Macaca fascicularis: one gene and its partners. The protein of the gene in region 3 purifies or fractionates together with the protein of the main gene of each other region. This does not show direct contact. Links are inferred from orthologs where the notes say so. Each region holds a gene or a part of one and is shown on either strand. Other genes may lie near its edges.

Region 1 (10,251 bases), on a different chromosome or scaffold from region 3:
TTTTTCATCATTGTTGTATCTGTTGTGATGCTCTGTGGTCAGTGGTCTTTGATGCTCCTATTGTAATTGTTTGGGGGCTCCACGAGCCTTGCCCATGTAAGATGGCGAAGTGAGTCTGTGTGTGTTCTGAGTGCTCCATCAACCGGCAGTTTCCCATGTCTCTCCTTTTCCTCAGGCCTCTCTATACCCTGAGAACGATGATACTGAAGTCAGGCCAATTAATAACCCTATAGTGGCCTCTAAGTGTTCAATGAAAGGAACATCTCTCACTTTAAATCAAAAGCTAGAAGTGATTAAGCTTAGTGAGGAAGCCAAGCCTCAGCCAAAAGCTGAGGTAGACCAAAATCTGGGCCTTGCACACCAATTGGCCAAGTTGTGAATGCAAAGGGAAAGTTCTTGAAGGAAATTAAAAGTGCTGCTCCACTGAACACACAAATGATAAGAAAGCCAAACAGCCTTACTGCTGATAATGGAGAAAGTTTCAGTGGTCTGGACAGACGATCCAAACATGCACAACATTCTTTTAAGCCAAAGCCTAATCCAGAGCAAGACCCCAACTCTCTTTATTCCGTGAAGGCTAAGAGGAGTGAGAAAGCTGCAGAAGAAAAGTTGGGAGCTAGCAGAGGTTGGTTCCTGAGGTTGGAGGAAAGAAGGCATCTCCACAGCATAGGAGTGCAAAGTGGAGCAGCAAGTTCTCCCGAAGATCTGCCTAAGATCAGTGATGAAGGGGGAACACGTCAGAACACTAAACAACAGATATTCAGTGTCAGTGAAATGCCTTATATTCGAAGAGTATAAGCCATCCAGGACTTTCATAGCAAAAGAGAAGTCAAAGCTTGGCTTCAAAGCTTTAATGGACAGGCTGACTCTCTCATTAGGGGCTAAATGGAGTTGTTGACTTTTAAGTTGAAGCCAATGCTCATTTACCATTCTGAAAAAACCTAGGCCTCTCAAGAATGATGCTACATCTACTCTGCCTATTCTCTATAAATGGAACAACAAAGCCTGGATGACAGCACATCTGTTCATAGCATGGTTTAGTGAATATTTTCAGCCCCCTCTTGACACCTACTGCTCAGGGACAGATTCTTTTGGAAATTACTGTCCATTGGCAATGCACCTCGTCACCCAAGAGCTCTGAAGGGGTGGTACCAAGAGCCGAATGTTGTTTTCATGCCTGCTAGCACAGGATTCATTTTGTAGCCCATGGATCAAGGAATAATTTCAACTTTCAAGTCTTATTATTTAAGAAATACATGTCTTAAGGCTGTTGTTGCCACTGCCAGTGATTCCTCTGATGGGTCTTGGCATAGTAAATTGAAAACCTAGAAAGGATTCACCATTCTAGATGCCAGTAAGAACATTTGTGATTCCCAGGAGGTGGTCAAAATACTGACATTAATAGGAAGTTAATGGGGGAAGTTGACTCTGGCTCTTGTGGACGACTTTGAGGGGTTCAAGACTTCCATGGAGAAAGTCACGGCAGTTGTGGTAGAAATAGCAAGAGAACTAGAATTAGAAGTGGAGCCTGAAGTTGGGACTGAATTGCTACAATCTCACCGTCAAACTCGAATGAATGAGGAGGTGCTTCTCAAGGATGAGCAAAGCAAGTGGTTTCTTGAGATGGAATCTACTCCTGGTGGAGACGCCGTGAACACTGTTGAAATGATAACATAGGATTTAGAATATTACGTAAGCCAGGTTGATAAAGCAGTGTTAGGGTTTGAAAGGACTGACTCCAATTTTGAAAGAAGTTCTACTGTGCATAAAGTGCTGTCCAATAGCATCACGTGCTGGAGAAATCTTTCATGAAAGGAAGAGTCAATAGATGCAGAAAACTTCATTTTGGTCTGAGAAACTGCCATTGCCACTCCATCCTTCAGTAGCTGCCACCTGATCAGTCAGCTGCCATCAACACTGAGGCAAAACCCTCCACCAGCAAAAAGATGACAATTCCCTGAAGGGTCAGGTGATTGTTAGTGTTCTCTAGTAATAAAGTATTTTAAAATCAAGGTATTCCCAATAGCTTTTTAGACCATAATGTTTTTGGACACTTACTCGACTGCATTATAGTGTCAGTGTAACTTTTACATGCACTGGGAAACCAAAAAATTCATGTGACTCTCTTTTTGCCGTATTAATGTTATCGTGGTGGTCTAGAACCAAACCTGTAATAAGTGTGCCTGTGTTCCAGAAAGCGGGGATTTCATCCAGGGAGGAAACACAGATCTTAGTTACCATGGGAAGCAGCTGCCACCCCCGCATGGAGACGCAAAAGGAAAAGGTAATAAACCTGGAGCTTAGAGGAGGTGCCCCGCAGAGCACACACTGGCACACGCCGACACACACCAGGCCCTCTGCAGGAGCATTGGCATCCGCAGAGCAGGTCTTCTGAGAGCCTCTTTGGAGCTGAGACCCTGCGGCGAGCATCCATGTGGGCACAGATGGGCTTGCACCCTGCTCAGCCTGAGCCCCGACATCCCCTCTTGTTTCGTCCCCGCTCTGTGCTTTCCAAGTCCTTGTTATAAGGGCAAAATGGAGGCTACAGCCTCTAAATCAATACAGACTCATATCTCTGCCCATCTGGACAATGTGGACAGCCAAGTGTCCTGCTCAGAATTTTGCCTCCTGGTATGATTTCTCTTTACCAGTTGTCGTCAGAGACACTTCTTCAGGGAGCACTTCCCATTGCTGCAGCTCATGAGGCTGCGCTGTGTGCAAGCCAAGGGTCGGTGCTCCCGAGCTGAGGGCTGGTGCTCCTCTTCATTCGCGGTGCTGGGGAGCTTCCCAGGAGAACAGAGGCAATGCAGTGGTGCCAAGGCAGAGGGAGCTGCTACCCGTAGTTATGCCACCTGCCTGTGCCTCAGGACCTGCTTGAACACAATTTTGTTTGGACGAAGTGAGATTTCCACGCAGTGACTGAGTGCGATGACTGAGTGTGATGATTGAGTGTGATGATTGAGTGTGATGACTGAGTGCGATGACTGAGTGTGATGATTGAGTGCGATGACTGAGTGTGATGATTGAGTGCGATGATTGAGTGCGATGATTGAGTGTGATGATTGAGTGCGATGATTGAGTGCGATGATTGAGTGTGATGATTGAGTGCGATGATTGAGTGCGATGATTGAGTGCGATGATTGAGTGCGATGATTGAGTGCGATGATTGAGTGTGATGATTGAGTGCGATGATTGAGTGTGATGACTGAGTGCGATGACTGAGTGCGATGACTGAGTGCGATGATTGAGTGCGATGATTGAGTGTGATGATTGAGTGCGATGACTGAGTGCGATGACTGAGTGCGATGACTGAGTGTGATGACTGAGTGCGATGATTGAGTGTGATGACTGAGTCGATGACTGAGTGTGATGATTGAGTGTGACTGCTGCTTCTGCCTGCGCTTAGGGCTTGATGTCAGACCACACGCGTTTTGTGGTGTGCAGTGCTCAGTGTACAGCATGCCCACATGATGGAGTGGGTAGGGAAGCCAGGAGCTGTGTCCGGACAGGAGAGAAGTTACATGCAGAAGGGACACTGCTTGCCTCCCACGCCTCACTGGCTGGCCTGTGATTCTCCCACGGGCCCCCCAGAGGCCCCACACAGCATGCTTGTTCACCCCGACACGGGGTGCCAGTGGCCATGCAGGTCTTCACAGCCCGCCATATGACAGAGGTAGGCTTTATGTCATATGTTACCTCCCAGATTCAAAAAGCCCCACCAAAGTCGGCCTCGTGGTGGTGAAGATGCCCCCATCTGCTCCACATCACCAGACCTTGAGACCTCCCTAAGCCAAGGGGAGCCGGCTTACTTCCCACCTGTGTGCACCTGTGTTGTTCAGGCATCTGAGGTGCCCGATGCTTCCTGGTCAACAGACCCCAAGCGCATGCTGTCCTCACTGTGCTTTCTGTCCTGTGATTGAGGTCTTTGTGGATGAGGTCAGGCTGTATTGGTCTGGGCAGGAAGTGGAAACAGCAGGTTAAACAGGGAAGTTTAGTATAAAGAAGCGCTAAGTGTGGTAGAAGAGTCACAGGCGTCAGGTATTAAGAAACTCCCTCAGGTCACCCCGGACGGAGCAAGAGCAACTCAGGAAGGAAGATCTTGGCGGGGCGCAAACCTCAGCCCACCGTGCAGCAGAGGTGGCTGCTCTGGCCAGGCTGGAGCTGGTCCACAGTCGCTGGATTGGCAGGAGGCTGTCCTCTGGATTGCAGGTGGGGAGTAGGTGGTCACAGCTGACAGCATGCTGTGCCGAGGGTGTGGGAACCCTCTGGGCTGTAGGCAGGGTACAGATAGGCCCCACGGGTGCCTTCAGAGGGAACCAGGACACTGGCATGGGCTCCAGGCCTCCCGGAGCTGGTGTGGGCAGGAAGTCTTGGGGGTCCAGTCTCTGGATTGAGAGGCTCATGGAAAGGCTATCACTGGACTGAGGTGACGGGGTCACAGAAGGACCAAGGGCCCAGTGTTGGGGCCACGCTTCCCTGCACACACTCACAACCACTCCAGGACTGTGGCGTGGAAGGCCCTGCCTCCTGCAGTCTCCCTCCAGGGCCTTTGGCTGAGAACAGGGCGCATCTCCAAGGAGAGCAGCCGAACAGTCTGTGCTACACAAGGCATGGTCTGCAGGGCGCCTACAGCACCTGAGGCGGCAAGTGGGTCACTGGCACAGGTGGATGGAGCCAGCCAATTTCTTCCTTAAAGGGCCAGAGAGTAAATATTTTAGGCTTTGTAGGCCATTCGGTCTCTGTCTTATATTCTCCTCTGTGTCCTTTGATGTCTTTAAAAATGCAGAACCACTCTTAGCTCACGGGGTGCAGGCCAGATGTGCCTGATGGGTACAGCATGTTGGCCCCAGGCCTGAGTCTTGATGTAGGTCTGCAGCAGGACGTGAACAGGTACTGCTGGCCTTGCCAGGTGACAGCGAATGGCTTCTGGTGGCCCTTCAAATTGGTGGTGTAGACCAAATTGCTAGATCAATCTTTGCATCAGAAGCCAGGGCCTGCATTCTTGTGTAGACGTGCTCTGTGACAGCAGCGTATCTGAAATGGCCGTGTTGGGGTTGCCCACCTGATTAAGTTTATGATCATGCACTGTCATTCTCCGAGAACCCTCTGCCGCTACGCAGGCCAAACAGCTGGGTTTGGTGGGGTGTGGTCAACGGCAGCACCCGGCATCTTTCCCAACCTCCATGGTGGTCCTAACTCTCCATCCCACCAACACTGCAGTGCTGCTTTCGGTGGACTAATTTCATGGGTGAGGGAATGTCCTGGGGCGTCCCTCTGGTCCTTCCTGTCATCACTGGCTCTGTAGCCATGGAGTGGGTGCTGTGTGGTCGTCCTGCCAATGCCAGGTCCGTCTATTCCAACGCACATGCAGGGATTGGAGAAATAACCGCAGGTTGGATACACTGACCCCACTGGGTTCTCTGAGGTGGACTTGGGCCACAACCTCCAGGTCTCTGCCTGGGGCCGTAGACCCTGTGATGTGTTGGGTCCAGCAGGACTGGCATTGATTCAGGGTCTGGGGTAGTTCCCTCTCCCCATGGTCAGCTCTCCTATAAAATAGCCATGGGTCCTTCCCCAAGGGGACCTGGGTTCCCCTAAACCGAGGGGCCATAGGCCTGTGAGCTGGCTTAGGTGAAGAGCTGAGAGAGGCCGCGCCTCTGCACTGTGGTCATCAGGCCAGCTTTCTGTCTCTGCCCTGAGCCTTTCTGGCATGTGGAGTTGGGGCTGAGCAGCCTGCCTGTCTTTTTCTCCCTTGGCCTCTGCCGCAGCTCCATCTGGTCTAGACTGCTCTGATTGGCATCTCATGCCTGCGCCCACTGTATCTCTGGAGCTCACGGCCGGCGAGCCCCTGACACCCCCACTTCTCAACACCCTCTTCCTGTTGGGGCAGCAGCCTGTTGTGATGCTGGCACCACCTCCTGCTGCCTCCTGGCCAGCAGAGCTTGTCAGAGGCGCGGGTGCCCCTCACGAATGCCTGGAGGATAAGAGACCTGATGTCATCCTTATCTTGCTCATCAGCCTTGCCGCCTTCTGCAGTCAGTCTCTGCCCCTGCACGCTCAGGAGCTGCAATCTGTACATGGTGCCATCCCTAAGGCGTTTAAAAGGCCATCGAGGAAGGTATTTTTAGGCCCAGATTTTCAGGCATCCTGTCGTGCACCCCGAGGCATACCTGCATCAGGTGAGCGCCCAGTGAGGCTGTCGTTTGTCCTCATCCCTCCTGCTCAGCTCCTACCAGACTCAGAGATGGCTGCAGGCTCTAAAAATAGCCCCATCTTAATGTACTGCTTGTGCAGCCTGGAAGCCTCCTCCTCCTCCAGCTGGGGATCAGATTAAGTCCCCCAGGCAGGGCATTGTTCACCCTTTAGCCGGCCTGACTGGAGCTACTATTCATGCTCACAAAGGCTCTAATCTCCTTTGAATTCCTGTAAGCCTTTTGCCTGGTAATCCCTTCCAGCAGGCAGCACAGGCGGTCACGAATATGCCTCCATCCCTTCATTTTGCCCTGATTATCTCTTTATCTCTTTAAGGGTCTTTAGCTTTTGTGTTAACATGTAAAAAGTAGGTAGTGGCATCAAATTGGCTTTAAAGACACAACTTGGAATTTTCTCTTTCAAAGCAGGGGGCTGTTATGGGAGTCAGGAGGCTCCATTCATTCTGGACATCAGTGCTAATGAGCCGTTTGAACTTGGAAAATCAGTGGCTTCACTGGGCCTCAGTTTCCTCATTTGTGAAATGAGGGGGCTGTGTTCATTCAGCATGATATCGGAGTTCCCTTCCAGCCCAGGTATCCTGTGGTTCTCTGACTTCTGTCGGCACAGACGTGGTGTCTGTGGGCAGTGCTGCTGTGGTTTGTGCCATAGGCCTGGTTTTATGTGGCAGCCTTAAGCCCTGCCCTCTGCTGGCTCCTAGTCATTGTGATGTTAATTCGGCACAGGAAGTTACGTTTTCAGGACCCCAGTTCAGGAGTGTGTGAAAAACATAGATAAAAGATGAAATGCCTCCCTGCTTATTACAGCGTTTTCCTTCTAAAGATCAGGTTTTGCTTCTTAAAAGCTCCTTCGTTTCTGTGATGGCTGCTGGATGTGTGTTGAACACTCTTTTGGGATCCAACAGCTACAGAAATCCTCAGAGTTTCAGAGCCGATGAGTGTGTCTCCATGGGTGCTTCTTCCTTAGTGCTGTTTACCTTCCATTTCATCTGCCTCTGAGGATATGGAGAGTTTCTGGAGGTACGAATGCCTACCGTATTTCCTGAACCCCAAGCACACTCCTTATTCAGCAACGTGCGCAGCTCTGTTCATTTCTTTGGGTGGCAATGCCAGAGACACCTCCTGTCTGCACACACCTCTAATGTTCTCTGATCTTCCTCAGGGTGATTTCTGGTGTTCACATTCTTTACTAAGGCATTTTGAACTCATCTTGTACCCACCAGATTTTCAGACTAAATTCTAGAAGGGCAATTTTATAATCTTTTGGAAAATCTAAGTACATTTTTCATACACTAGAAATTTCATTAATTTTATTTTCCTTTTATTTACCAATTTTTAGAAAAATGCATTGAGGCCAGGTACGGTGGCTCAAGCCTGTAATCCCAGCACTTTGGGAGGCCGAGGTGGGTGGATCACGAGGTCGGGAGTTCGAGACCATCCTGACCAACATGGAGAAACCCCGTCTCTACTAAAAATACAAAAATTAGCTGGGCGAGGTGGCGGCGCCTGTAGTCCCAGCTACTCAGGAGGCTGAGGCAGGAGAGTCGCTTGAACCCAGGAGGCGGAGGTTGCAGTGAGCCGAGATGGCGGCACTGCGCTCCAGCCTGGGCGACAGAGTGAGACTCCATCTCAAAAAAAAAAAAAAAGGGAAGAAAAGTGCGTTGGTTCCGTAGTGTTTTGCAAAGGAACGGGGTGAGGTTGTCTTCGTGTGTCACATGACCTTGCACGTGGCTAACACCGTTGATGCTTCCACCCACTGCAATTCCCTTTTTTGATCTGTCCTGCCCCAAGGAAGCCTCCTGTGGCCCCTGCTTTTGACACTTCCCTAGCAGTGCTGGGAGCTTCCTTATTTGCCAGACACAGGAAAGCCTTTATTTATCCAGTTCTTCTGGGGCATGGCAAGCTGAAGATGATTAGGACATTCATTACAATATGGAAGCAGCTTGGGTATGCATCAAGGCTAATGAGCCGGATGAACGGATAAAGAAACATGATACAAATAGAGCACTGCTCAGCCCTAAGAAGGAAGGAAATCCTGCCATTTGCAGCAACATGGATGAACCTAGAGGTCTTCAGTGAAATAAGCCCAGCACAGTCAGACACCACGCAATCTCACTGATATGCAGAATCTAAAAATACTGAAGTCACAGAAGCAGAGTAGAAGGTGAGACCAGAGGCTGGCCGGAGGGCAGATGGGGAAAAGGGAGATGTTGGTGAAAGGATACAAAGTTTCAGTTAGGTGGAGAAATGAGTTCTAGAGATCTATTGGATGTCTTGGTGACTACAGTTAGTAGCAATGTATCATGGTAACTGAAGTTATTAGCATTGTATCATATACTTGAAAATTGTTAAGAGAGTAGATTTCAAGTGTCTTCACAACAAAAAATAAGTATGCAAATATGAATTGGCTTAACTTAGCCATTCCACAATGTATACACATATCAGAATATTATGTTGTATACTATAAATATATGCATTTTTAAATTTGTCAAATAATAAGAAAGTTCATGTTGCTGCAGCATCATTTGTTGGGACACAGAGCCGTCTGGAAATACTGGGTTCCATGCCTCTGTGTGCTATTATCGGGGCAAGGAAACTGACAGAGGAGCTGGGTCCAGCACTGTGCTGCTTCCTGGGGAAGGTGCTGGCCGCACGGTGCTGCTTCCTGGGGAAGGTGCTGGCCGCGCCATGCTGCTTCCTGGGGGAGGTGCTGGCCGCACTGTGCTGCATGCTCTTGCTGCATGAACCCGGCACACCCGGGTGGTGTGGTGTGATGTGGATAGGAGATCCTGGGTCCACTCCTGCTTGTTGCATAGTGCGGTTCTGAGGCTTCTCTGATTATGTGTGTTTGTGGTGGTGGGGCCATTGCGGGGTGGTCTCTGGTCAGGGCATCAGGTTGCTGGCTTTGTTTTTGCAGCCAAGAAAGGCAAAGTCATACTTAGAATAAGTATCGGGTGAACCCCTTCCCGTTCTCAGGATGGAAGGGGCCCTAGGCATCACCTTGCCGCATGCAACACCATGAGTCTCCAGGTTCTCAGTCTTTTTCCTTCCAGGCTTCTAACCAGTCACCAGGCAGTTGGTCATGCCCTTGAGCATGGGCCACTTTTTGCCCGCTGTGGGGATGGCCAGAGCAGTGCTGGGAGCCCTGCCTTTCTTCACAATCACCTTCCCCTCCATGCTCTTCCAGCCCTCTCCTGAGTGTAGCCATCTGACAGCGCCTGCCCATGTCTGGCTTATGCCCTCTCCTGAACTCATTGATCTATAAAGCAGCTCAGGTCTCTTCTCCTTCTTCAGCTAAAAGTACAGGACTCCCACATGGCCACAGGCATGAGTGCAGGGAGGGTCCGGGGCGGGGAGGTCATGTATGGTTTGGGCACCCACCATGCAGCTTTCTGGTGCCCTCTGGTCCTGCCTGACTCTGTCCTGTGTGCGCCGTCTCTACTTTGTAGTAAATCACTGCTGGCCCTGCCCAACCCTGTGACCTGGTGGCTATGACTGAGCTCTTCTCATGAGTGACACCTGGCACTTGGTGCCCCATGGTCAGGAGCTCCGTTATCAGGACCTGGAAGCATGGTCACAGCTGTTTATCAAAGATGTGGTTCTGTGCTGCAGATGGCATGGCTTGCTCCAGAGCCCCAGGACCACATGGTGACTCCACCCAGGCTCTCCACAAAGTCCACACTGCATGCTTTCTACCACTGACAACATGCTTTCTACCACTGACAACATGCTTTCTACCACCGACAACATGCTTTCTACCACCGACAACATGCTTTCTACCACCGACAACATGCTTTCTACCACCGACAGCTTCCACACCAGCAGGTCTACTAGGCGTCCCCAGAGGCGGGGCTGCCTCTCCCCAGCCTGATCTTGCTGCAGTGCCCTCTTGGCCTAAGCTGGCAGCTTTACGTGCTACCCCAGCATCTGGGCTGGCCCAGCCTTCCTAGGTGTGTAACGTGCCACCTCTAGAATGAAGAGGCCTGCCAGGCATTGCAGCGTCATTTCTGCTTTTGCTCTGGAGGGTAGGTCCTGGTGTCCT
Region 2 (10,251 bases), on a different chromosome or scaffold from region 3:
AGGCGTGCTCGATCGGCTCCGGGTCAAGGTGGGAAGTAGGGATGGATACCCTGGAGGCTACTAGAAGCAGCCCTCCCAAGATCTTCACTATGGATTTTCTTGGCAGAGCTCACTGTAGCCTGTCTCCAAGAACTTCACCCTGCCTTTTCTGGGCAGCCCCATTCTTGCCTCTCTGGGTTTCCTTGAAAATCTTGAGAAATACCAAAGAGATATGCACCACTTTTCAATCTATGTTTACCATTTGTTGCTTCCCCCAATTCCTCTCATACAGCAAAAAGGTTGCAGCTTCATGCTCTGTGCTTGGTTCCCCACATCTAGGCAGTGATGAAGATCCGAGAGTTTATCCTCCAGAAGATTTATTCCTTCAGGAAACCAATGACCAACTATCAGATCCCCCAGACGGCCCTGCTGAAGTACAGGTCACAACCCCAAGGAAGTGCATGGGATGGCCTTTGAGCTTTTGAGCAGCCTAATGGCATCTGGTTTCCTGGGAGACAGGTAGACTGACATGTTCCTGACCTCCTAGGTTCTTCTATCAGTTTCTGCTGGGCAATGAACGAGCAACAGCAAAGGAAATCAGGGATGAATACGTGGAGACGCTGAGCAAGATCTACCTGTCTTACTACCGCTCTTACCTGGGGCGGCTCATGAAGGTGCAGGTAAGGTCAGGAGGGAGAGGCATTCCTGGGCACGTGGACTGGGAGGAGGGGACATCCCTGGGCAAGGAATATTTTATTGTGTTGTCGGAAGAGACGGTTATCAGTTCTCTTTTCTGTTTTCTTAGTATGAGGAAGTTGCTGAGAAAGATGATCTAATGGGCGTGGAAGATACAGCGAAGAAAGATATCCTAGTCCTGGGGAACCCTCATGCCAGGTCTTGAGAGTGGGAGGACTTTCGGCTGCAGCCACCAAGGCACTGTTCCTTACCTTTTCCTATGGGACTGAAACCTTTTAGAATGTGATGAAAGCTATAGCCTCCCTCCTAAGAAAGATGCGTCATTTTGACACATAGTTTTGCATATGATTGCAGGAGGTGGGGAGACACCCTGAAGTCCGTTCACAGATGTCATCACGTGGGGCCCTAGTACTGGGAAAGAGGGCTGACTAGGCCATGTCTCGCTGTCTGGGGTCCCTGCAGATAGTGAGTCTTTGGGCCCAGTTATGGTCTCATTGTTTTCCCTGACTCTGACCCATCTTACGATTCTTCTCAAAGCCATCACTCCGCAGCAGGAACACCATTTTCACCCTAGGAACCCGTGGCTCTGTCATCTCCCCCACTGAACTTGAGGCCCCCATCCTGGTGCCTCACACAGCCCAGCGTGGAGAGCAGAGGGTATGAGGAGGAACAAGCTTCAGTCATGAAAGAGACTCTGAGCATGGAGGGAGGGAAGGCCAGACCTCAGGGCAGAGCTTCCCAACCTGCAGGCCCTGTCTCGATCCCCTTAGACTTGGGAGTGGCCTTCTCCAATCACTCCAGCCTGCTGTGATGTGAAAAGAGCTGGGAACCATTGACTTAAGGGCATGCAGAGGGGAGAGACTGGATGAGGGGAATGACGGTCAGAGGCAGGTGTTGAGGTGGATGCAGGAGTAGCAACAGCAGGTGGGTGTAGGCCCTTTTTGTACCCCTATGTTCCCCCACCTTTTCAGTGCCCATTCAGCTTGCTCTTTGACAGCCTGGACCTAGATGGATGCCAAGGGTCTGCCCAGCTCTTATTACCCAGGTTTACTGATTTTGCAGCCATATCCATGGGAAGTCAGTGTTGGGGTCCATCCCTTCTGTGTTTCTTCTTTACTTCTCCTCTCCCAGTATCCATTTGAGGCCCTCTTCCGCAGCCAGCACTACGCCCTCCTAGACAATTCCTGCCGCGAATACCTTTTCATCTGTGAATTTTTTGTTGTGTCTGGCCCGGCTGCACATGACCTGTTCCATGCTGTCATGGGCCGTACACTCAGCATGACCCTGGTAAGATTCCTATTTCCTGTACTATTCAACACCTTTGTCCCCAGTCTTCATCAGCAGCATAGTGGGGTCATGACTCTGGTAGAACTGAAATCAATCAGGATCCTCATTCTAAAATGTCTAAGCCTTGGCTGGGCATGGTAGCGCACGCCCATAATCCCAGCATTTTGGGAGTCTGAGGCAGTAGGATTGCCTGAGCTCAGGAGTTTGAGACCAGCCTGGCCTGTCTATGAAAAATAAAAAATTAGCCAGCTGTGTGTTGATGTATGCCTGTGGTCGTAGCTACTTGAGATGCTGAGGTGGAAGGATTGCTTGAGCCCAGGAGGTCAAGGCTGCAGTGAGCCATGCACTCCAGAGTGAGACCTATCTCTTAAAACAAAAAAAAGAAAAGCTGGGCACAGTGGCTCACACCTGTAATCCCAGCATTTTGGGAGGCTGAGGCGGGAGGATCTGTGAGTTCGAGACCAGCCTGACCAACATGGTGAAACCCCATCTCCACTAAAAATACAAAATTAGTCGGGCGTGCGCAGCCTGTAATCCTAGCTAATCAGGAGGCCGAGGCAGGAGAATTGCTTGAACCTAGGAGGAGGAGGTTGCAGTGAGCCAAGACTGTGCCACTGCACTCCAGCCTGGGTGACAGAGCAAGACTCCATCTCAAAAAAAAAAAAGTCTAAGCCTTGTTACTTAGACTTGTCACAGTGTTACTTCCCATGAAATCCTCAGAGTGTAGGGTCCCTGAGACTCCCCCTGCTGCTGCCCCACAATCAGAATCAGGCAATAGCACGTGAAAACTGAGGGTCCTCCAAACCCCTGACCCAAGCTCAGCCTGGAACTCTGCTGTGATAGGCTTGTGATCGTAGATCCTGCTGCAGCCAGGTGCAGTGGTTTACACCTGTAATCCCGGTACTTTGGGAGACCAAGGCAGGAAGATTGCTTGAGGCCAGGAGTTCAAGACCAGCCTGGGCAACATGGCAAGACCTTGTCTTGACAAAAAATTTAAAAATAAGCCAGGCATGGTGGTACACACCCATGGTCCCAGCTACTTGGCAGGCTGAGGTGGGAACATCACTTGAGCCCAGATGTTTGAGGCTGCAGTGAACTGTGATTGTACCATTGCAATCTAGCCTAGGTGACAAAGCAAGAACCTGTCTCTAAAGTCAAAAACGCCGGGCGCAGTGGCTCACACCTGTAATCCCAGCACTTTAGGAGGCTGAGGTGGGCGGATCACCTGAGGTCAGGAGTTCGAGACCAGCTTGGCCAACATGGTGAAACCCCATCTTTACTAAAAATACAAAAATTAGTCAGGCGTGGTGGCAGGCGCCTGTAATTCCAGCTACTCAGGAGTCTAAGGCAGGAGAATCGCTTGAACCTGGGAGGCAGGCGGAGGTTGCAGTGAGCTGCGATTGCGCCACTGCATTCCAGCTTAGGCGACAAGGGCGACAAGAGCGAAACTCCATCTCAAAAAAACAACAACAAAAAAAGCCAAAAACATAGATCCTGGTGGGTAAGGCAGTAGGACCACCCGGGTGGCAGTGGACAGGAAAGCAGGGGGCAGTTGCATTTTACATCTCTCCCTTCTGTCCTATCCAGTGCATCATCCCCAAAGAAACACATGCGTTTGTTCATAGTCACTGAGGAAAACAAACTGACATTCTCTTTTAATCCTCTGCTTGTTCCCCAATCACATAGAAACACCTGGAGTCCTATCTCGCTGACTGCTACGATGCCATTGCTGTTTTTCTTTGTATCCACATTGTTCTCCGGTTCCGTAACATTGCAGCAAAGAGGGATGTTCCTGCTCTGGACAGGTCACTGAATTCTGGTCCTTGATGCCCAACAGGCCACAAACTCTTGGTCTTGCATGACTCTGCCCTGACCTTAGACTTCTACTGACCTGGTATCATTAACCTTTATTCCCATTGATTTGCTCCAGAGGCAGTACTGCTGCTTTTTGACTCACCTTTCTCCAACCACTGCCCCCCCATCCCCACAACTAACTGTTGACCATTAAACTGAATGGTGCCCCACTCCCCCCCATCCCTCTCCAACATTCCTTGCCGGCTGACCTCAGATTCTGATTAAGCCCACAGGTACTGGGAACAGGTGCTTGCCTTGCTATGGCCACGGTTTGAGCTGATCCTGGAGATGAATGTCCAGAGCGTCCGAAGCACTGACCCCCAGCGCCTAGGGGGGTTGGATACTCGGCCCCACTATGTGAGGGAGGGCAAGGGTAACAAAGGGTTCTTGAAAGGCAGGGCTCTAAGCATCATTGTGGGGGTTGGCCACGGTCACAGTTGTGTCATGGGCCACGCTCTGAGCAGGCATTCTGGGAGGGTGATAAAACTCATGGTGAGTGGTGCACTGTGGGTAGGAGGGACTGGAGGTAGAGTCACATCACATGGTGGCGGGTTGACCAAGGGAGTTGGGAGGTGGTGGTGGTTGGGCCAGGAGGTGGGTGTGATTTTCCTTCCCACTCTGTCCTAGATCACACGCCGCTACGCAGAGTTCTCCTCCGCTCTTGTCAGCATCAACCAGACAATTCCCAATGAACGGACCATGCAGTTGCTGGGACAGCTGCAGGTAAGGGTCAGACAGGAGAGACTTACCAGCAGCAGGGCTGCTGCCAGTGGGTGGAGGCTGAGGAGGAGCCAGAGGGGGGCCTGATGGCCTTGCTTTCTGGTGTCACCTCTTCTCTGCCTTTTCAGGTGGAGGTGGAGAATTTTGTCCTTCGAGTGGCAGCCGAGTTCTCCTCAAGGAAGGAGCAGCTTGTGTTTCTGATCAACAACTATGACATGATGCTGGGTGTGCTGATGGTAATAGGTGCTCCTTCTCCTTGTCTTCCTACCCAGAAAATTGGGTTTCCCCCACTGCTTTGTTAGCTCTGTGAGGGCAGAGACGATGCCTGTCTTGTTCAGCGTTTTACTCTTGGAGTCTGGCACAGTGTCCAGCTTAGTACAATAAGTGTGGAATGAAGGGGACATCCTGAAGTGAAGGACTGCTTTCCCCAAACTTGACATTTCCCTTTGTCTTCCCTTAGGAGCGGGCTGCAGATGACAGCAAAGAGGTTGAGAGCTTCCAGCAGCTGCTCAATGCTCGGACACAGGTAGGGGTGTGGGGAAAAGGGAAGGGACAGCTTTGTGTGCTGTTTTCAGCTCCTGTGTGTTTGTGTGTGTGTGTGTGTGTGTAGGGAGTGGCATAATGGACCTCAGGTACATGGAATTACTGTAACTCTTGATCCACAACATACTGTCATTATTGGTCTACTTTATTTTATTTTGTCTTTGGTTTTGCTTTTTTTTTTTTTTTTCCTTTTTTGAGGCAGAGTCTCGCTGTGTCACCCAGGCTGCAGTGCAGTGGCATGAACATGGCTTACTGCAGCCTCGACAGCCTGGGCTTAAGCGATCCTCCCACCTTAGCCCCTGGGTAGCTGGGACCACAGGCATGAGCCACCACGCCTAGCTAATTTTCAATTTTTTTTTTTTTTTTGTTTTTTTTTTGAGACGGAGTCTCGCTCTGTCGCCCAGGCTGGAGTGCAGTGGCGCAATCTCGGCTCACTGCAAGCTCCGCCTCCTGGGTTCACGCCATTCTCCTGCCTCAGCCTCCTGAGTAGCTGGGACTACAGGCGCCCGCCACCGCGCCCGGCTAATTTTTTGTATTTTTAGTAGAGACGGGGTTTCACCGTGGTCTCGATCTCCTGACCTTGTGATCCGCCCGCCTCGGCCTCCCAAAGTGCTGGGATTACAGGCGTGAGCCACCGCGCCCGGCCATTTTCTATTTTTAGAATGAATTTTATTTTTTTCTTTATCCATCCCCTCAAGCACTTATCCTTTGTGTTATAAACAATCCAGTTACACTCTAAGTTATTTTAAAATGTACAATTAAGTTATAATTGACTATAGTCACCCTGTTGTGCTGTCAAATAGTAGGTCTTATTAATTCTTCCTATTTTTGTTTGTACCCATTAATCATCCCCAGCCTTCCACTAGCCTTCCCAGCCTCTGGTAGCCATCCTACTCTCTTCGTACATGAGTACATGAGTTCAATTGTTTTGATTTTTAGATCCCACAAATAAGTGAGAACACATGACATTTGTCTTTCTGTGCCTGGCTTACTTCACTTAATATAATGATCTCCAATTCTATGCATGTTGTTGCAAATGACTGAGTCTCATTATTTTTTATGGCTGAATAGTGCTCCATTGTGTACATGTCCCACGTTTTCTTTACCCATTCATCTGCTGATGGACACTTAGGTTGCTTCCAAATCTTAGCTATTGTGAACAATACTGCAACAAACATGGGAGTGCAGATACCTCTTCAATGTATTGATGTCCTTTCTTTTGGGTATATATCCAGCAGTGGGATTGCTGGATCCTATGGTAGCTCTACTTTTAGTTTTCTGAGCAACCTTCAAACTGTTCTCCAAAGTGTTTGTACTAATTTACATTCCCACCAACAGTGTATAAGGGTTCCCTTTTCTCCACATCCTTGCCAGCATTGTTATTGCCTGTCTTTCGGATAAAAGCCATTCTGAGTAGAGTGAGATGAGATCTCACTGTAGTTTTAATTTGCATTTCTTTGATGATAGTGATGGTGAGCCCCTTTTCATATATGCCTGTTTGCCATTTGTATTCTTTTGAAAAATGTCTATTCAAATCTTTTGCCCATTTTTTAATAGGATTATTAGACTTTGTCATGTAGTGTTGTTTGAGCCCCTTATATATGCTGGTTATGAATCCCTTGGCAGATGGGTAGTTTGCAAATATTCGTTGTCTCTTCACTTTGTTATTTCTTTCGCTGTGTGTGCAGAAGCTTTTTTTTTTTTTTTTGACACGGAGTTTAGCTCTTGTTGCCCAGGCTGGAGTGCGATGGTGCGATCTTGGCTCACCGCAACCTCCGCCTCCTAGGTTCAAGCAATTTTCCTGCCTCAGCGTCCCAAGTAGCTGGGATTACAGGTATGTGCCACCATGCCTGGCTAATTTTGTATTTTTAGTAGGGATGGGGTTTCACCATGTTGGTCAGGCTGGTCTCAAACTCCTGACCTCAGGTGATCCGCCCACCTCCATCTCCCGAAGTGCTGGGATTACAGTGTGAGCCACCGTGCCCAGCTGTGCAGAAGCTTTTTAATTTGATGTGATCCCATTTGGCCATTTTTGCTTTGGTTGCCTGTGCTTGTGGGGTATGGCTCAAGAAATTTTTGCCCAGACCAATGTCTTGGAGATTTTCCCCAGTGTTTTCTTGTAGTAGTTTCATAGTTTGGTCTTAGATTTAAGTTTTTAATCCATTTGAATTGGTTTTCATATGTGGCGAGAGATAGGGGTATAGTTTCATTCTTCTGTGTAATGGATAGCCAGTTTTCCCAGCACCATTTATTGAAGAGACTATCTCTTTCTTTTTTTTTCCTCAGACGGAGTCTTGCTCTGTCACCTAGGCTGGAGTGCAGTGGTGCAGTATTGGCTTACTGCAACCTCCGCCTCCTTGGTTCAAGTGATTCTCCTGCCTCAGCCTCCTGAATAGTTGGGATTACAGGTGCCTGCCACCACGCCGGGCTAGTTTTTGTATTTTTAGTAGAGGTGGGGTTTCACCATGTTGGCCAGGCTTGTCTTGAACTCCTGACTTCAAGTGATCCTCCCGCCTCGGCCTCCCAAGTGCTGAGATTACAGGCATGAGCCACCGTGCCTGACCAAGAGACTATCTTTTCCCCAGTGTATGTTCTTGGCACTTTTATCAAAAATGAATTCACTGTAGGTGTGTGCGGGCTAATTTTTTAATTTTGTAAAGACAGTGTCTTGCCATGTTGCCTGGACTGTTCTTGAATTACTGCCCTCAAGTGAAAAATCTAATGATTCTTTTGGTTTTTTTGTTTGTTTGTTTGTTTAGAGACGGAGTCTCACTCTGTCTCCCACACTGGAGTGCAGCGATACGATCTCGGCTCACTGCAACCTCTGCCTCCCAGGTTAAGTGATTCTCCTGCCTCAGCCTCTTAGTAGCTGGGACTACAGGTGCGTGCCACCATGCCCAGCTAATTTTTGTATTTTTAGTAGAGATGGGGTTTCACCATGTTGGCCAGGCTGGTCGTGAACTCCTCACCTCAGGTGATTCACCCGCCTTAGCCTCCCAAAGTGCTGGGATTACAGGCGTGAGCCCCTGCACCCGGCCCGGATTCTGTTTTTAATGACACTGAAAAACAGAATGAATTTTTGTTTTGGCATATATATAGCTCTACTTTTAAAAGCAAGAACACACACACAAAAGGGGGAAAAAAGCAGGAGTACAATAAATGCAACGTTTAGATCAACGAGTACCTGTGCATGAGAGGCACAGGGATAGTTTCAGGAGGATTTCATAGTTTGATGGTGGCTTTTGCCAAGCTGCTACTTCTTGGATTGTGTGGTGTGTTTGTGGGTGTTTATATCATTAAAAAACAAAACAGCCACTGCACTGGGTTGTTTTATTTTTTAATGATATAAACACTGATGAGACAAGGCAAGAAAACAGCAAGGCAAAAAAAACAAAAAAAAACAAAAAAAAACAGGCATGGTGGTGTGCACCTGTAATTCTAGCTATATAGGAGACAAAGGCGAGAGGACCACCTGAAATCCAGGAGTTCGAGGTTACAGCAAGCTGTGATCATGCCATTGTAGTCTACCCTTGGCAACAGAGCAAGACCCTGTCTCAAACAGCAAAACAAAAATCCCCAGAATCACAGGATTTTTTTCATGCATAATTTTTCTAATATTGTCATGTTATTGCATATGGCTATAGCTCATTCTTTTTCACTGCCATATATGACTTGTGTGATTAAACATATTCTATAAATGGATTGTTTCCAGTTTCTTGCTTCTGTGAGCATTGTTTTATGAATAATCATGTCTTTTAGCACACATAGATACTGATTATCTTCATCAGAAGTTTCTCTTGGGTATAAACCTAGGACAGTATTTTTGCTGTTTATAAGATAGGCAGTATTAGTCTTTATAAGACAATGATAAATTGTTTTCCTAAGTAGTTCCTTCTTACCAGCAATATGTAAGAATTCCTTCTGAGCCACATTTTCTCCAACATGTGGTATTATCAGATCTTTGCCATCTTTTTCTTTTTTTTTTTTTAAGAGACCAGAGATGCTGCTAAAGATGCTTGGGATCAGAAATGTTTCAGATTTTGAGTTTTTTTGGATTTTGGATTACTTTTATTATTTTTACTGGTTAGCATCTGTAGTCTGAAAATCTGAAATCTGAGATGCTCCAAAGAGCATTACCTTTGAGCGTCATGTTGATACTCAAAAACTTTCAAATTTTAGAGCATTTTGGATTTTAGATTATTGGATTAGGGATACTCAACCTGTATTTCAGTGGGTCTTTATTTGTAATTTCCTGATTACTAATAACATTGAGTATCATTTCAAATGTTTAGTAACTATATGTAGGGGTTCAGTCAGGCTGGTGGGAAAAATACTAGTTATGATAGCCACAAACCCTCTTCGAAGGCCTGAGAGTTTGCATAACTTCAGTAATAGATATGGTTGAAGGCGACCTGATCTTTACCTTTAGTTAAATAAATTAGAGTAATAACAAAGGAATGTGGGGAAGTTAGCTAGCTAGCTTGTTTACTCATGTGGTCTTAAGACTAACCTTTCATGTACCGCAGGTGCCTAACTGCTTTCTACTCAGGAAGTCCACAGTGTCAGTTACCCTGTAGTGGTGTTGACTCAAGTCTTTGTCAATTAATCTTTACTGAATAAATGAGAGTCTCACTAGCTGGTCAGGGCCGCCATCGCAACTGTTTACAGTACTCTACAGGGAGTTTGTAAGCAGCCTGGACACACTCAGCTGGACTGGCAAAGCAGAGTATCTGTGTCAGTGTACTTCATTCATCCTTCGCCGGGTCAGGGGTCTGCAAGGGACAGACTCCCCGCAGCTGGTGCTCTGTGTCAGCATCACCACAACTATACCATTTTTTTTTTTTTTCTGTAGAATGGCTGTCATAGCATTTGACCTTTTAAAAATCGGGTTGTGGCTGGGCATGGTGGCTCACACCTGTAATCCCAGCACTTTGGGAGGCTGAGGCGGATGGATCAGTTGAGGCCAGTAATTCAAGACCAGCCTGGCCAACATGGCAGAACCCTGTCTCTACTAGAAGTACAAAAATTAACCAGGCATGGTGGCACATGCCTGTAGTCCCAGCTCCTCAAGGGCGCTGAACCTGGGAGGTGAAGGTTGCAGTGAGTCAAGATTATGCCACTGTACTCCAGCCTCAGTTACAGAGCATGACTCTCTCAAAAAATAAAGAAAAA
Region 3 (10,251 bases):
AGTGATTCTTTGTGACATTTTGCCTCTGTGAAATTGACTAAACTGAGAGGAATTTAAAGTCATTCCAATTATTTTGGAATAACATATCTCTCTATAAAAGTGATTCACTAACTAAAACTTACATAACCTTTGATTCCCATTATTTGCAGCAGTGTGTTCTATAAAGTTGCTGTGAATATTGATTTAACAAATACTCAACCATTACTCCCAGAGCAAATATAGGATTAGGTTCCTATAAGCCTCTGGTTACAACATATTTATCAGCCCATCAGTACATAATCTGAATTCATAGTCAACAACACCATAACTCTTGCCTAAATGAAGCTTATCAGACACACATATTTTATTTCTAAGGCACATCACAGCCTTCTTGTGCTTAGAAACACTACACAGCACTTCAGGGCTACACTTGTGGTGGCATTCTAAACAGTTAAATCACCAACAAAAAGCACAAAAATACAAAGAACTTGGCACTAAATAGGTCATGAAAAGGAAACTTGTTTATAGTATGAGAGCCTAAGCAAGAAGACAGAGCATGCTTTGTATTCAGCTGGGAACATGCATGTTGGATGACTCAAACTTTTCACTGTTCTGCACATTTATGAATGACTCCAGAAATATCATAAGTGTTGACTTTAGGGTTACAAATAAATTTCAGTGAGCAGGCAAATTTGCAAACATTGAATCCTCAAATAATGGGTATCTGTGATACGATGTGGTCACAAAACTCTGTTGTTGTAATCAGGACATCCTAGTTTGTGTAGAATACCTTTCTGCATAGCATCAGGATCACATTGTGTATAAGTATAAAGGAGTACCTGTAAGGCTTGTTTGCAGTTATTAATGTGTGATCTCATCTTCCCAGGTGCAACTTATGTCCTTGAGAATCAGGGTCCACGTCTAAATACGACCTTTTTATTAACAGACTCTCAAAAAATAGTTGTTGAATTAGGGGACTAAATTATTTCCATGTTGTTATCATACTGGTTTTCTCAACTGTCATGTGGAGATAAAACTTCCTCAGAGAAGTGTCTGTACAATTAAATGAGATAATTCATGAAAGAATTTAGCATAATACTTGGTTAAAAACTCAATGTTAGCTATTATTTAATCATACTAATATTAGCCATTATTTAATCATACTAATCTATAACATTAATAGATGATGATGATGAAAGTGCTGTCACTGCTTCCTTTACTGTGCATGAATTCCACTGTCCTTTCCCGTGCTGGCATTGGGCCATAGTGCCATAAAGATGATGAAAATGTTAGGAAGACATCCTTCCTCTCAGGAGTAAATCCACCATTTTTGTCCTCATTCTCAGCAGGTCACTGTGTTCTAAGCTTAATTTTCTAAGCTGCCCTTGAAATTAAGTCTTATAGTGAATTAAAACATCAGCATGTGTGTTGTGCATGTTTATTAAGCTGAAGTAATACTTGCAGAGTGCCAGAATTGGATATTGAACCTCTTTTTAATGAATTTTATTAGCAAATTGGAAATATGTATGGTGAAACTTCTGAGAGACTTTAAGTTAAAAAAAAAAAAAAAAAAAACACGTGCTTATGTGTACTCTTCTTCTCTTTTTAGGCCTAGTGGAATGTTTGTTAGGTTTTCGTTTATGGTGATTTTATTTTGTTGCACATTTCAAGCTTTTATAGGTGTAATATTTTTCTTTTGTGCTGATTAAGGTAGAATGATGAAGACAATGGAAGAATAATCAGATTCTTGGTGACAACATTAAAACTAAACTACGGATTTTCTTGTATTTAGTGGTTTCTTGTAAAATTGAGTACTTTCGCTGTGTTGAGACACCCCACGAAACGAGGCCCTTTATACTCATTTTTTAATATCCTGTGTTTTCTTCAGTATGAATCTGATGAACAAGAAAAGAGTGCCTATCAAGAGTATGACAGTGACAGTGATGTTCCTGAGGAACTCAAACGAGACTATGTGGATGAGCAGACAGGAGATGTTCCTGTGAAAAGGTGATTGTTCTTAAATTGTGTGGTATTTAGCATTTTATCTTGTGCTCTTAACATATAGGATTTCCTTTAAGGTTAAGAAGAAATAAAAATTATGTTTTTTGGTACTTATTATGTCACCTGACAGAAGTTAGTATGTTTTAAATGATTCCTGGAAGGCTAAAAATGTGTTTTTCCTCCTAACATTTCATAACTGGATTTCATGAAAAATAAAATAGTTATATGAAAAGTTCTGCCTAGCAAAACCTTTGCCAGCATCTCACAAATCAGTTCATTTAACTATGAACTGGATTGTTAATGTGTCAAAAAAGAAATTGATTTAGCCATTTAAAAGTTCTTAAATGGCTAGTTTTAATGTAGCTTTCCTTTGAGTTATGTAGTGTGTTTGACATTGCTTTTTGTAGCAAGATTCTAATTCCTTTTTTATGGCATCACGAAGTTAGTCATTTTTTAAAATCTGTTAAAATTATTGTTGAAAATATTGGGCATAATCAAAGAGATTAGTTTTTGCAGAGGAAAAAGCCTTTAGATTTATAAAATCAATCCTGCCTTTGGTGGCCATTTATGCGATTTACATAGATAAATAAAAAACCTCAAGGAGAAAATGATCATTTGTTTTGTATGTGGAGTTCTTACTTCAATCTTGTAAACACAGAAAATCACCACTTATTTCCCCTGTGTCATTTTTGTTCACTATTTGAACTTTCTACCAAGGTGTCCTATTAGTGATTGAGTTTTGTTTTATGATAAACTGACCTCTTCAAAACTATGATAATTATAACAGAATTTTTTCTTACCTTTTGCCAGTTAAATGGGCCTGATTCTGGAATGTTGAAATGACTTGATTTCATGACTATCATACGTTTAGTGACTATAAATGTACTTTTTTTTCTTAATGGTAGTAACGATAAGTATACTCTTACCGTTTAACGCCAAGCTACCTATTTAATACTGTTTAACTTGAAATCCCGACTGAAATAATACTGTTTTCAAAAGTGAGCAATTCACGAAATTGTAGCTATTTTAATTGAAAAAATTTGTTCTATTGGTTTTTGCATATGTATGATATTAAGTGTCAGTATGATCTACTGTGAACTAAATAGAACTATTTTGTTGGAATTCTTTATTAGATGTTTTGGGCATATTTTGGCCAAAAGGAAAGGTCTATTTGAATTGAAATATACAAGTAAGATAGTGTCTGCCATGTGTATATACCTCCATTTTTGGTAGGGTTACTGCAGCCCCCTAAACTTACCCCTAAGAAGTTTGAATTGAACGAATTAGTGCCTGAAGCCAATACATTGAGTTATTATCAATTCTAACTTGTGTCTCTTGAGTTGACCACTTTTTCTGGCATTTCACCACTACCATTCTAGTTTATCCTAAAATTATCTCTGTGCCAGATTATTAAATCAACTCCTTTACCTTGGATTCTTGTCTCTAGGCTTGCCCCATTCCAAACAACTCTTAGATTTAAATTTAGGGTTTTTTTTTTTTCATAGTTACAAATTTAATCTTGCTGTTTTTCTGGTTAGCTTTTAGTGACTCACCACTGTATTCAAGATAAGGTTCATATCCCTCAGGTTTGATTGCTTTCAGGGATATCCGGCCTTTACTTGCCTCCTTTCTTATTACTTTCCCCTCTGTTTATTTCTTCTACTTGCAAATGTGGTGAACTCCTTGTACTTTTCTGAGCACACTCTGTTCTCTCTTATCTCTAACCCTGTTTTATGCTGGCCCTTTTTTCTGTGCTGACCATATAACTTTTACTTTTCTTTTGAACCTAACCTAATGCTGCCCCTTAACCCCAAATACTGTCACCAATATTCTCTACTTAATTCAGATTCTTAGGAGGGTATTTTTTCATGTTTATAAGTTTCTGAAATCAAGAAACATAGTACATCTGCACCTAGATATGTAATTATCTTGGAAAATTTGTTTTTTAAAGTGATTAGTTTTTTTAGTGGTTGATAATGTTTTATAATCGAAGAAATGCATTATGGTACTTTATTTTTTTGCTTACTTATTTCCCTTACTTATGGATTGTAAATTTTATAAGGATAAGAAGTTAATCTCTATATCTTTACCTAATGCATAGTACGCTTTTCATTAAATAATTAGTTAATAAAGGCTATGGACTAATCTGAGTAACTTATTGGTTTATTACTTGACAACTCTAGCAACTCTGTTTTGTTTTTTCATATAAAGTGTTTCTCGGGAAACTCTAAAAAGCAGGAAGAAATCAGATTACAGTCTAAATAAAGTGAATGCCCCTATCTTAACAAATACAACGTTGAATGTAATAAGACTTGTTGGTAAGTAGCTACACATTTAAAAACAAAGAAAAAGAAACATTATAACAGTTAAATTAGTTTGGTACTGAATGACTTTTACTTGTGGTTTTCGTTGTCTGGTATACTGCAGTGCTCTCTGCAATAAGGGATTTAAGGTTATCATATGTCTATGCTTCTCATTTTAAATGTTCCAAATACTATAATACTAATAGTAATGCCAGTTTCTCTTTTTAAGTTACCTGTTTATTAAGTCTTTGTATCTTCCAATTTTTCTAAAATATTTCAGTTAATTGAAATGTGATGAAAAATTCTCTAGGTAGGTTAGAGGTACATGTAAGATAAGATAGTACCAGTTTCACATTTATACAATATTTTTCTACTTTGTTGTTTCATAGATCTTTACAGTATTCTGTCAGGCAGAGTGAATAGTGACTTTCTGACATTTTCAGACTTAAGGGATTTACAAGCTAAATGTTCAGATTATAGGAAATGTTGTTCTTATTACAGGTAAGACATTTATTGATGATTTTGTAGAAGGGAAACAATATGAAGAAATGACATTTTAAATATTCGGGTTTGAGGATGATGTGGATTTTTTTTTAATGTCAGTATTTCAACATCTTGTATGTTTTTAGCCTTTCTATCTCACTAATAAGTCTATCTATTTGACAAATAAGTTATAGAGATGTCTTCTCATATTAACCTTCATTATTCCAATCAGGAATTTTAGTGGTTTTCTATAAAAATCTCTATCTATGGAGATGGTATTTACCTATTGCCTAGTTTGATTAATCTTAGCTCTGTTGAAATAGTCCGTGTTCTTTAAGATAATTATTAAATGTAGTTAATGAATAGGATAAAATGTATAGAATGCTTTTTAGGAGTCACGGTTTCTCTAGAAAGAGCAAAAAATGTTACTGAACTGAGAAGAAAAGAAAGGTATACATTTTCATGATGCTCAGAAAAAAGAATAGATTCTAAAAAGCTATTCTGTGACTAGTTATTGCCAGGGAACTAAGCTTTTCTTCTTCCAAGAGAACTGACTGAACATAGTGTCAGAAATAACTCTCTAGAATTTGTAGAATCAGAATTGGAAGAGTGCTGAGAGGTCATTGGTGTAAGTTCCCATGAAGTCGGTTGTCTTTCTGTAATGTCTCTAATATGTGGTGGCTGTCTAGCTTCTGTTTCGTGATTCCCAGTCATTGGAAACTTAGTGGTTTGCAAGACTACTCATTCTATCATTAGACTGATCTCATTAGTAGAAGTCTCTTCCCCAAGATAAACCAAAACCTGTCTCTATGTTTCTAGCTTTTGATCTGTCCTTTTGGTCTAAGAGTTCTGCCCTTAGAAGCAAGAAGAATAAGTTCATGCTTTAAAAAAATTTTTTTTCTGTTTCTATTTATTCTGTTCTATTTCTTTTATCTTCTATTTCTTCTATTCTTCCATGTGATCACTTTTCAGATATGTGGTGGTAGTTGTCCTGTCCTTCCTTTTCTCATACCAACCACCCCACAATCCATTTTTCAGGCTTCATGGGCTCAGTTCCTTTATCTTGTCCTCACTGATAGAAATTCAGACATTTCAGAATAATCGTCATCCTCCTTAGCCTTCTAGACTCAGCACTTTTCAGTGTCTGAACACATCACTTGAGATGTAGTCAGCTTTTGCTAGATTATGTTGAAGTAACAAGCAGCTCTTGGTGCATTAATGACTTTCAACCACAAAGTTTTATTTTTCACTCGTGATACGCATTGTCTCCTGATTATATGTAGCTCTGCTCCGTGTGTCTCTTCATTCTAAGATGTAGGTTGAAAGAATAGTACCAACCAATCTGGAACATGGGAAGAAGAGCAAGAGCAAACTCTGTTATGACTCCTGAAGATTCTGCTTCCATGTGTCAACCTTGACTTCCTCTGACATGTCATGGCCAAAGCAAGTCAGGCTTGGCAAAGGGAGGGAGAAGTATGCTTCTGCCACAGGAAGCACTGCAAGTCAAGGAAAGTGGGCAGGACTGTATCATGCTCTTATGGGAAATTGGGAAAAATAATATAATTAAACATATCTGTTTATATTTTTTACCTTACCTAGTTCAAAAGGGGCTGGAGGTAGTCATGTTGCTGTTTACTCTGAAGGCATATTTTCATAATAATCAAATAAAATAAAATACAAGGCTAAGGCAAAGTTGAGGAATGGGCACATCATGCTTTATCATATCATATTTAATGCAGACATCAAATACAGTGCTTAACTTCTTGGTAGGCATAAGGGAATTCACAAAACAATGTATTCCACTATCCTTATTATCTGTGAAAAAGATACAGGCCTTTATAATAATGGTAGAAATATGCTCCTGGTGCTGAATTCAGACGATAGTAACAACAAATTCTTACATGAAGATTGCTGACCAACATAGTGGGCCTTGCTTTTGAACAGTGGGTTTATAGGAACTGAGAAAAGCCACATTCAAGAGCCTTTAAAGTATGGCACAGTCCTGAATAAAACCTTACTCTGTGAAGAGAATTTGACTATTGCAATTTCAGCTTTCTACACTACCATATCTTTTACTGGACTTGCAATTAGGAAACAATGCCAAGTATGACAATTTAACTTTTATATCTTTTCATTTAGGACTGGGATTAGGTGCTGCCATTATCACCTCAGTTGGGATCCCCAGTAGACTTTTATTCTTATCATTTTCTCTCTCCCTGGGATGTTTTTGTCTTCAGTTTTTAGATATATACAAAACAGAACTTTAAGGAAGCCACTGTCTCAGAGGTCTCTGACTAGTAAATGCACTATTCCATCCACTGTTGTTATTGCATAGAAGTGCCTGAAGATTATAAACTGGCAAAAGTCATGCCTCTTCCTACAAAGGGAGAAGTATGGTTATATAAATAAGACAGATTAATTTTTGGTACTTGAGAAGATGAAGGAGCTAATTATTGAGTATTTCGGAAACACATATTAGAACATTAAAGGCATATTTAAAATGTCCCTTTCAAGTAGTATTTACTTGGCAGATAATTAGCAGAGAGTAAACAAAAGAGTGTTAATGGGGCTCCCTTACCCCAGGTGGTAACTAAATTTATTAGAAAGGCTCAGGGAGGCTTTGCACTAGTGGAGAGAACTGATCAGAAGACTTGCTTGTATTATATAAAGAGAAAATTCTGTCAGCCTGATGGTTTCTTGCAGACAGAGAAAGAGAAATTTTAGGAAATGTGTCTCATCAGTGAAATAGCCTTGGTATTCATGGTTCTCTCTCCTGGAGACAGCTCTCACTTGAGCAGGTATGATAGGTCTGAGGAGCAGGAGCTAGATTACCGAAGTCCATGCTTATAACAACTGCCGACAACAACAAAATTACCACTTTAGTAGCTAGAAAAAAATATACCCTAGCACGTGCATCAGTATTTAAAATGAAAATAGGATATGTGCATCTAAGGGATATTTAGGTGTAATATATATTCTTTTAGGTATAATATACATTCTTTTCCTTGGGGGAAGGTAAAATACTAGATGACAGACTGTTGAAGTTTCCCAGCACTTTAGTTTGCTGGCATACTCTTTATCATTGAGCATTTTAAATTGAAAGGTAATGCATGAAAGTGGTTAAAAATTAAAATACCGCAAGGTATAAGCAGAGCCCCTGAGCTGCAAATCTCCTTCCCCAGACAAAACGACTGAGTTTCTCCTGTTTTCTTCTGGAAATATTAGTGTTAGTACAAATATATTTAATATGTGTATCTCCTCTCTCCTATTTTTTTGTTGTTGTTTTGTTTGTTTCGAAAATTGAATTACACTATACTGTTTTTATCTGGCTTTTTTACTTAAAATATCTTAAGGTTACACTTAAAATAACTTAATGTATTACTTATCTTAGTATGTGTGGATTTCATTCTTTTTTCCTATTGTATAGATGTAATATTATAAGTGCCACAATTTATACATCTTCTACTTTTCAACATATAGGTTACGTCATTTCATACTACAAACTGCCACAGCAAGTATCCTTGAAGAAATATCTTTGTGCATATACCAATAGAGCTATAGAACAAATTCCTATAAATGCTTCCTCTAGCTGGATGAAAGAGTATATACATTTCCAGTTTTGATGGACATTCTCAATTTACCAATGAGGTTACTAACGAGCTTACTAACAGAGTTCTGTTAGTTTACTCATTCATCAACAGTATTTGAGGGTAGCTCTTTTCTTAGTCTCAGCAACACTGTATATCCTCCAGCTTTGGGTCCTTGCTAGTCTGATAGGTTAAAAATGCCATCTCATTCAAAAATGTGTTTAATTATGAGTGAATTGAAGCATCTTTTCATATGCTTAAAAGACATTTCTATTTACTTGCGAACTACTTATATCCACTGCTCATTTTTATGTAATAAGGAAATTATAGGTTTTAATTTCAACATTAAGGAAATCAGTTCCTTTTTTGCCATGTATATTGCATCCATCAGTTTTAGTCCAACAGATTTTTTGTTTTTTTGAGTCACTACTTTGTTTCCAGCTAACTGTTGGAGATACAGTCATGAAGAAACCATAGTCTTTCTACTTAAGGAACCCAACGAGGGAAATAGCATACAAATAAAAAAATTTACAGTGTGTTGTTATAAGCATAAATAAACAGAAAAGAGGCGAGAGAAAGAATGATGATTAATTTTCCTTTTTGGGTGGGAAGTGAAAGGACTGATTCACTGTGGGGACTGACACCCTAATTGAGTTTGAAAGATGAATAAGTTCTCATAGATGAAGAAGTTGGTAAAGGCATTTTGGACAGAAAGAACATGTGTAAGACATGATGTATTAAGAGACTCCAGTAGTCTAGTTTGCTGGAATGTGAGAAACATGATGGGGGCTGGAGGCAGAAGCAGGGGAGACATGACGAGAAAGATGGGCAAGAACCGATTATCAGAAGGCCTCATAGACTGTCCTATGCAGCTTGGACATAAGCGCCTTCAGGGATTTCTAACGGGAGAGACCCCAGCAGATTTGTTGTTTTTAAAAAAGTGTAAATAAGGGATTGACTTTGGCTAAGGGGAAACTGGAGAAGGTCAAAGACTGGATGGCAGACTGTTGAAGTCTCCCAGGTAAGGGATGAAGAGGACATAAGCCTGCATATGGATGGCAGTGGCCATTGTAATAGAAGGGCAGATTAGAGAGATTTTAGAAATACAACAGACAGAATTGGTGAATCAGTGATGAGCGATCACTCAAATTTTAGGATTGTGTGATTAACTAGTGATAATGCCAGAAATGAAAAAGGAAAGATGAGAGGAAGACCAAGTTTGCAGAGCTGATGATAGGGTAGACTTTGGACGTATAGAGGTACCTCTGGGACGTTTAAGTAGAAATAGTCTATAGGTAGTTACATAGATGGATGTGGAGGTCAGGAGAAAAAAGATGATCAGGATACATAATTTGAGTCATTGTTATAAAATAGTTAAAACCGTGGTAGTGGATGAGTTTATCTTGGCAGAGGCTCTTAACCTTTTGAGTTCATAAAAAATCAGACAGAAGTTCTACTACCCTTCCTACACACAAAAATGTATAACACAAGATAGCTGAGTGTGGAAACCTAGGAAACAGCAGTGGATATGGATATATTAGAAGGGCAAAGACAAGATCAGACAGTGAAGGAGGTCATGAATGAACAGCAGAAAGGCAGGAGAAAAATTAGGAGGTGAAGTAGAAGTCTTGAAAACCAAGGCGTGAGAACCTGTCAAGAAGAAAGAAGAACTGTGCTTTATTGTTTTATTCATCTTTTATGGTGATCTAGCCTTTGATTTTTAAATTTTGGCACGCACCAGAATCACCTAGAGGGCTTGTTAAAACGCAGATTGCTGGCTGGGTTTGGTGGCTCACACCTGTAATCCCAGTACTTTGGGAGGCCAAGGCAGATGGATCACTTAAGGTCAGGAGTTTGAGAGCAGCCTGGCCAACATGGCAAAACCCTGTCTCTCCTAA

The links.
Region 1: the proteins of VPS50 (region 3) and EIPR1 purify together in Homo sapiens (affinity purification with mass spectrometry; 4 studies listed by BioGRID and IntAct, counting the BioPlex papers as one, with this or other methods). This does not show direct contact. The link is inferred for Macaca fascicularis from reciprocal best matches to the Homo sapiens genes VPS50 and EIPR1.
Region 2: the proteins of VPS50 (region 3) and VPS52 purify together in Homo sapiens (affinity purification with mass spectrometry; 4 studies listed by BioGRID and IntAct, counting the BioPlex papers as one, with this or other methods). This does not show direct contact. The link is inferred for Macaca fascicularis from reciprocal best matches to the Homo sapiens genes VPS50 and VPS52.

The regions. Positions count from the first base shown.
Region 1 is NC_088387.1:118,872,559-118,882,809, forward strand, and holds part of EIPR1 (EARP and GARP complex-interacting protein 1), read left to right. Parts: 5' UTR 1-318; coding exon of another isoform or gene 319-930; 5' UTR 931-5,803; coding exon 5,804-6,179; intron 6,180-10,251. Other genes in the region: uncharacterized protein, read right to left, coding at 319-930. UniProt on the Homo sapiens protein: Acts as a component of endosomal retrieval machinery that is involved in protein transport from early endosomes to either recycling endosomes or the trans-Golgi network.
Region 2 is NC_088378.1:138,435,304-138,445,554, forward strand, and holds part of VPS52 (vacuolar protein sorting-associated protein 52 homolog), read left to right. Parts: coding exon 1-28; intron 29-318; coding exon 319-419; intron 420-526; coding exon 527-659; intron 660-784; coding exon 785-842; intron 843-1,198; coding exon 1,199-1,332; intron 1,333-1,445; exon of another isoform or gene 1,446-1,599; intron 1,600-1,806; coding exon 1,807-1,962; intron 1,963-3,648; coding exon 3,649-3,767; intron 3,768-4,049; coding exon 4,050-4,173; intron 4,174-4,443; coding exon 4,444-4,539; intron 4,540-4,664; coding exon 4,665-4,772; intron 4,773-4,996; coding exon 4,997-5,062; intron 5,063-10,251. UniProt on the Homo sapiens protein: Acts as a component of the GARP complex that is involved in retrograde transport from early and late endosomes to the trans-Golgi network (TGN).
Region 3 is NC_088377.1:128,007,529-128,017,779, reverse strand, and holds part of VPS50 (syndetin), read left to right. Parts: intron 1-1,867; coding exon 1,868-1,986; intron 1,987-4,191; coding exon 4,192-4,298; intron 4,299-10,251.